2 linked regions of the Stegostoma tigrinum genome follow. The protein of the gene in region 1 interacts with the protein of each later gene in a biochemical or structural test. Links are inferred from orthologs where the notes say so. Each region holds a gene or a part of one and is shown on either strand. Other genes may lie near its edges.

What was found.
Region 2: of the proteins of prkn (region 1) and ccne1, one has a biochemical effect on the other in vitro, tested with the Homo sapiens proteins (2 studies listed by BioGRID). The link is inferred for Stegostoma tigrinum from reciprocal best matches to the Homo sapiens genes PRKN and CCNE1.

Annotation. Positions count from the first base shown.
Region 1 is NC_081362.1:24,016,795-24,020,545, forward strand, and holds the start of prkn (E3 ubiquitin-protein ligase parkin), read left to right. Parts: upstream 1-972; 5' UTR 973-1,031; coding exon of another isoform or gene 1,032-1,038; intron 1,039-1,260; exon of another isoform or gene 1,261-1,332; intron 1,333-3,751. Other genes in the region: parkin coregulated gene protein homolog, read right to left, coding at 778-972. UniProt on the Homo sapiens protein: Functions within a multiprotein E3 ubiquitin ligase complex, catalyzing the covalent attachment of ubiquitin moieties onto substrate proteins. Substrates include SYT11 and VDAC1.
Region 2 is NC_081369.1:32,655,884-32,659,634, forward strand, and holds the start of ccne1 (G1/S-specific cyclin-E1), read left to right. Parts: upstream 1-1,088; 5' UTR 1,089-1,735; coding exon of another isoform or gene 1,736-1,761; 5' UTR 1,762-1,849; coding exon 1,850-1,975; intron 1,976-2,055; coding exon 2,056-2,115; intron 2,116-3,536; coding exon 3,537-3,703; intron 3,704-3,751. UniProt on the Homo sapiens protein: Essential for the control of the cell cycle at the G1/S (start) transition.

The DNA of each region.
Region 1 (3,751 bases):
GAATAATGAGCTGCTACTAAGAAAATTTTCGTTTAAAACATCACACATACTAAAAGAGGGAGGTTGAAATAGCATGCAGTCTGCTTTTAAGCATGTGATCCAATGAATATTTAGCTACTTACAATGGAATTTTTCATCATGGCTTTCACTGTGAAACCTTCAGTTACTCTATGATCCTTCTTAGGTCTTTGATACATAGTCGCCAGAAGTTTCTGGTTGCCCTTTTCCAGTCCGTAGGCAGCTGGCATTTTATTTGTTGTGAAGGCAGAGTAGCAGTAAGACACCTCCTACTGAACAAATTCCACCGCTGTTATATTGTTCTTGCAACGTTTCGAACAAAATCTTGGTTCACCAACAGCTGGTGGTTTTCCGGGCACCCCGTTGCTAAGAGAGATACATTAAACAAACGCCGTCATTTCCGTCACGCCGAAGGGTTCCCGTTAATTCAGTTGACATATCACGTGACTGGAACGGGCTTATTTTTGAATCATGATGCCCCGACTGCACGTTGAGTGTACCCTCAGTAAAATTGACCTAAAACATTAAAGCGAACACTTTTTTAAAAGACGTTTTGTTTCCTCCTTCCTGATATGAGGGTTACTCTGTTTCAAACTTCACGCTCACAATCGCCGTCTCTCGGGCTCTTTTCTCGGCGACTCAATCCCTCAGGGCACCAACCCTCCCACTTCCTTGGTTTTCACAACCCTTAATGATCTCCGTGGACCTCCTTCCTTTATTTATTCTTTAATAATGATGTATATGGTACTACTTGCTCACCATCTTGTAAATCCTTTTATTTCCAAATTCACGTGTTCGACCCTTTACCCTCGCGCGCCGCCTCTTCCTCTGCCCTCGAACGCACTCCACCACGTTAGTAAACAATCCTGGAACTCCCTGACAAGGAAGAAAGCTGCACGCAAGCGCAGTACAACTTGGCCTACAGATTTTAACTGGAATATCTACAGGCGACATGATGTAAAATTCAGCTTCGCCCAAAGTGTCCCCTTTGTAGAGCTGAAGTGATCAAAGAAATGATCGGTAGGTGATGGCTTGACATAAAGTTATTGCCAGGTCGTGTTCAGTCGTATTTGCAGACGTCATGTACGCACGTCCGGTTAGCATAATAATCCATCATTTTTGACTATAGCAAACGAAAATTTGAAACAAATATTGACTTGAAGTGATAAATCAAAGGTAAATTAGATATAATCATTTCATTCACCATACAGTATACAGTAGTGGTGTAAACAAAATCACTGTCTCCCCGGCGGGGAATTGAACCCCGGTCTCCCGCGTGACAGGCGGGGATACTAACCACTATACTACCGAGGATCTGATGTTTTGTTATTTGGCTTTCAGACTAGAAAAAAGATAGCCGTAGAATAATTAAACGATCAATTAAATCTGAAAGATAGTAAAACTAACTAAATCTAAACTGTTCAATGGTTTAATTAATTTTGTGTATAACTTTATGTATGATAATGTACATTTTACAATGTTTAATGCAAACCAACCCTGACATGACTTACTTAAAAATCTGTGGAGCCATTCCAATTGGCCTGATACTTTGCTGTTTGAGAAAATATGGACCGATTCTGTAAAACATATCTAGTTCCTTGTCATCAATTTCTATTTCAATATACACTTGGTACGATGCAACTGGAGGTTGAAATTTGTTGACAATGAAAGACTTGAGGAAATTTCACTGTACGTGAAACGTCAACTCTGATTTCTCTTCGTATTTAATGCCAGAACCACTGAGCTTTTCCTAGCCATTTCTGTTTTAGTTTCTAAATTACAAAGATGGTCCACAAGGACTGTGACAGTTCTCCCCTTCTCCCTGTACAACCAAGCCAAAGCTGTGGCAAAGATTGCTATGTTGATGACCTCTGAAGTTTGAAATTCAACCAGCGAAATACATTCGGAAAATCCTCTTTGTATTCATTGAAATGCTGTCCTCCATGCATAAAGATTTGCTGCATTTTCCATGGGAATGGAACACGAGGCAAACAAACTAATTGGTGAAACAAGATCAAAGACAAAAACAGAAATTGCTGGGGGAAAAAAATAATCAGGTCTTGCAGCATCTGTTGAGAGAAAACAGAATTAATACTTTGGATCCAGTGACCCTTCTGAGTTTTTCCAGCATTTTTTGTTTTAGAACATAGAACATAGAACATAGAACAGTACAGCACAGAACAGGCCCTTCAGCCCACAATGTTGTGCCGACCATTGATCCTCATGTATGCGCCCTCAAATTTCTGTGACCATATACATGTCCAGCAGTCTCTTAAATGACCCCAATGACCTTGCTTCCACAACTGCTGCTGGCAACGCATTCCATGCTCTCACAACTCTCTGCGTAAAGAACCTGCCTCTGACATCCCCTCTATACTTTTCACCAACCAGCTTAAAACTATGACCCCTCGTGCTAGCCATTTCTGCCCTGGGAAATAGTCTCTGGCTATCAACTCTATCTATGCCTCTCATTATCTTTTCTGATTTCCAGTTTCTTTGGACTTTTCACTTGGTGAAACAAGATGCTGTAGTTAGAAATTTCAGCCCTGTGTCAAAATGGATAATTTGCAGTGCTGTTGCAACATGGACAAGGCATTCTGTAACTAATCCCCATAATCAGATGTGATTATGAAATGAATCCAGAATGATTTACTCCATAATAACAAAGTGTGGAGCTGGATGAACACAGCAGGCCAAGCAGCATCTTCGGAACACAAAAGCTGACGTTTCGGGCCTAGACCCTTCATCAGAAAAGGGGGAAGGGGAGAGAGTTCTGAAATAAATAGGGAGTGGGGGAGGCGGATCGAAGATGGATAGAGAAGATAGGTGGAGAGGAGACAGACAAGTTAAAGCGCAGGAATGGAGTCAGTAGAGGTGAGTGTAGGTGGGGAGGGGATTGGTCAGTCTGGGGAGGACGGCCAGGTCAAGGGGGTGGGATTAGGTTGGTAGGTAGGAAATGAGGGTGGGGCTTGAAGTGGGAGGAGGAGATAGGTGAGAGGAAGAAGGGGTTAGGGAGGCAGGGACGAGCTGGGCTGGTTTTAGGATGCAGTGGGGGGAGGGGAGATTTTGAAGCTTGTGAAATCCCCATTGATACCATTGGGCTGCAGGGTTCCCAAGTTGAATATGAGTTACTGTTCCTGCAATCTTCGGGTGGCATCATTGTGGCACTGAAGGAGGCCCAGGATGGACATGTCATCTAAGGAATGGAAGGGGGAGTTGAAATGGTTCACGACTGGGAGATGCAGTTGTTTATTGCGAACCGAGCCTAGGTGTTCTCCAAAGCTGTCCCCAAGCCTCTGCTTGGTTTTCCCAATGTAGAAGAGGCCACAACGGGTACAGCAGATGCAGTATACCACTTTGGCAGATGTGCAGGTGAACATCTGCTTCTTGAGGAAAGTCTTCTTGGGGCCTGGGATGGGAGCGAGGTAGGAGGTATGGGAGCAGGTGTAGCACTTTCTGTGGTTGCAGGGCAAAGTGCCGGGTGTGATGGGGTTGGAGGGGAGTGTGGAGCGGACAAGGGAGTCACAGAGAGCGTGATCCCTCCGGAAAGCAGACAAGGGTGGGGAGGGTAAGATGTCTTTGGTGGTGGGGTCGGATTGCAGATGGCGGAAGTGTCGGAGGATGATGCGTTGGATCTGGAGGTTGGTGCGGTGGTACATGAGGACGAGGGGGATTCTCTTTTGGTGGTTATTGCGGGGACGGGGTGCGAGGGATGAGTTGCGGGAAATGCGGG
Region 2 (3,751 bases), on another chromosome or scaffold:
TTTATCATTTATCTTTAATTCAAGCCACTTTGCTCTGCCTAACAGCCCTGAAATTAAAGTCTCCGACAAAAAGGTCTTCGCTTTCACTTCTATTGTCCTGATTTCTGAACAAAACAACATTCTGACACATTACTGTTGTAGCAGGAAGTCTGTAGGTTACAGCTACTACCCCTTTCTTTTTCCTTAATTGGAGTTGGTGACTTAAGGAATGATCAGCAATTAAGGGTGATAGCAAAATATGTGAAGCGTTTGCAATATCATAAAGTGGTTCTTAAGAACATACCAGTCTATTGTGAGAAGGATCATTTGGTTTTCAGATGCGGCTACAATCCAGGGAAATAAATAAAATGACAACAAACAGTGAAGACCTGAAGCCAGTTGGGGGAATGGGTGATAGGAGGCAAAGTTGAGAGATACATACAACCCCAGCCTCCTCACAGGCCTTCCTGGTTATCTGAGACACTGACAACCCACTGAGAGAAGCCCCTAGAAAAGAGGAGGTAGATATTGTACGAGAGTATCAGTCACTGTCACCCCCGATCAATGACAGGACTGACCTCTCACCTGGCATTGGCCGCAGCTGCACCATCTCCAGTACAACACAATGAGCTTGCACGGTCTCACAGCTGCTACAAGCTCATCACCTCTGAGATCTAAGCGAGGGTTCAAAGCAGCAGGCTGCTTGGTGACCCTCTCTCACTGACAGTCAAAGACACACATGATGTAGAGGTGCCGATGTTGGGGTGGGGTGGACAAGGTCAGAAATCATCAGGTTTATTTGAAAACACAAGCTTTTGGAGCTTCAGTCTAGGTCGGGAAAGGGAATGAGCCTGGCCCTAAGGCTCCATGGCTCTACGGCTCCAGGCCCCCAGGCTGAAGGCCGGGAATTTTGTTTATCTTCGACCCACGTACTGACCACATCCCCAATCTTCACCGTCATTATCGCCACCCATTTCGCACTGGTGGGCGGGGTCGGAGAGGGGAAGTGTGGCGTGATGTGGCGCATGACGTTCTGGGTGGGTGGGGTTCCTGGGAAGGGCGGGGTTTGGCAGCGAGTCTGTTTGAGTGGGACAAGCCGGACACAAGGGGTGAAGGAGGGAGCATGAGCTAAGGAGCGCGGGGCGGAGCCTAAGGGGACAGGGGCGTGGCCTGTGACAACTTCCTCCGGCTGAGAACGCGCGCTTGACTCCCGCCAGCGATTTAAAGGGATCAGCGCAAGCGCGATGAAGAGAGACTAGCCGGCACTGTGGAGCGGAGCTGGGCTAAGAGCGGGAGCCGGCTGAGGGCTAACTGGAGGGAAGCATCAGCGGCAGGCTACAGAGCAAGAAGACAGGGGGCGATAAGACCATAGAAACGGGGCACAGATACCGAGGGTCACCTAGTGGTGAGCACCAGCTGACACCCCATCAGCGCAGGCTGGTCGTACCCACATTCTTCCCGGTTAAACAGCAGGCAGCGCGGGGTCCCGGCTTCGGCCATCTTCGGCTGTGCGCTGAGATCAGAGGCCGGCTTGGGGCTGAGTGCCCTCCCTCTCATCCCCTCTTTTCCCAACACCAGTAATGTGACTGGGCCAGAGGAGCGTGGCCCCCACCCCATCCCGCGCCCAAACCTGAGGTCCACTCCTGTGAGTAAGCAGCAGCAACCACCTCACTACCTCGAGAAGCGACAGTAACTTCATGCAGCCTCTCCCTTCTGAATTACAGGAGATCTTTAAACCACACAAACAACACTGAAGATGCCCAGAAAAAGGTACATTTTAAAGTGAGTTGAAAGCAGTGCCGTGTTACCAGTTATAAATTCACGGTGGGTGTCTCTACAAGGCCTAATCTCTACAAGGCATTTTGCCATAATGAGCAAATGTGCATTTTTTAAGCTATTATTTCTTTTCAGTGAATTAGTAGACCAATCAACGAAAACTGAAGAAACGAACAGGATTGTGCTGCATACCCGAAAGCGAAAAGCCGACGTTGCCATTGTAAGTTTAACCGCACATGAATATGCCATTGTGCTTTAGCACGCTTTCTAAGTTTGGTAATCGGTCTTTTCTGATCGTAGTGTTTGCAAGACTTGGATGAACTTACAGAAGTGCAGTCTACGAAACCATACGAAAAGGAGGTAATAGAATATGAGGTCTGCAGGTTTTATTTAACTATGACTTTTGCTATGCGTAGATGATTGTTTGTTTAGCCAACCTCTTAATCTTGAGCTATTTCGATTCTGGTCAACATGTTGCCACTAACTGAATAGCAGTGTTGTACATTGTTTAGGCATATAATCCAGGCCTTGGTCGTCTTGAACATGTTTTGGTTTCTCAGGAGCACTTGATTAGCTTCACAGTAAGCAAATTATCCAATAACTGAGTATTAAAATTAAACCACTGTGGTGGTTTCTAGAGTGCTTTTTTCCCCTTGACCCAAATATTTTAATAAAATCTGGGGTTTAATATCTTTCAAAACTAGCCAAGAGTATCTAGCAATGCTAGAATTCTAGTGTGGCAATACCAATAGATCTTGCAGTAAGGTTTTGTGAAGCAGGTAGGCTGGGATGTAGGGCACCTGGGCAGAAATTTTGGTTGTAACTTTTTAATAGTTTTATCTCAATACTTTGGATCTGGGTAAATCTAACACTGGAAAATCAGCTCAAAATTGCACAATTTAAAAACTTCACTCAGGGAACTCACAAGTATGATGCAAGAACTAAGTGTAAGAAATAGCAACAGGAGTAGGTTGTTCAGTCCTTCGAGCCTGCTCTGCTATTCAACAAGGTGATGGCTAATCCAACTTTATGGCTCCTTTTGTACAATGCTATTCACACTGTCCCTTTACCAGAACAGCCCATGTTTGAGTTGCCACTGATCCTGTCCTACCATTTAACCAACTTAATTGAAGGAACATCTTGTAGCATCCCTACAGTGTGGAAACAAGCCATTTGGCCCAACAGGTCCAGTCTGCCCCTCCTGAAGAGCACAACAGTCAGACCCATTTCCCGTGCCTAACATCCCTGGGCACTATGAATTTATTACGGCCAATCCACCTACCCTGCACATCTCTGGACTTCAGGAGGAAACTGGAGCACTCAAAGCAAACCCGTGCAGACACTGGGAGAATGTACAAACTCCACACAGACAGACCCGAGGCTGGAAGTGAACCTGGGTCCCTGGCACTGAGGCAGCAGTGCTAACTACTAAGTCTCTGCGCTGGCCCAAAGGGTGGAGAATGTGGGCTCCGATCCTGCTACCTCACAGTTCTAGGTGAATTGGAGTAATTCTGCCAAGTTGTTGGTTTTTTTATTCCTTCTCTAGCTTTAATGAAAGATAGTCAAGCATGGTTCTAACATTACCAGCTAATCAAGTGATTCTAGTGAATTGGGGTAAAGTGACAGTATTGGAATAGCAGCATGGAATGTTAATTGAGAGGGATTAGCCAGTTCAGACTTTTGGACTAGTGATGTTTTTTTGCCACTGTTAAGCTGAATTCAGTCTGAAAATTGACAACTATTCTAATGATTAGTTTGTTTGCAAAATTGACTAATTGCAGGATTGCTGGACTACTGTAGCCAACTGTATGAGTCCATACAGACTACATGCAACATCATGCACAAATCTAGATGACATGGTTACATCAAATTCTACTAGCTGTGTGCAGTACAGGCTCAAAAATGTTTTAGCCACTCCAACTAGAGCTTCACCATTACCAGCATTGTGGTAAGTATTTATACACTAAACTTGCACTGTCTTAGCCATATTTCATAA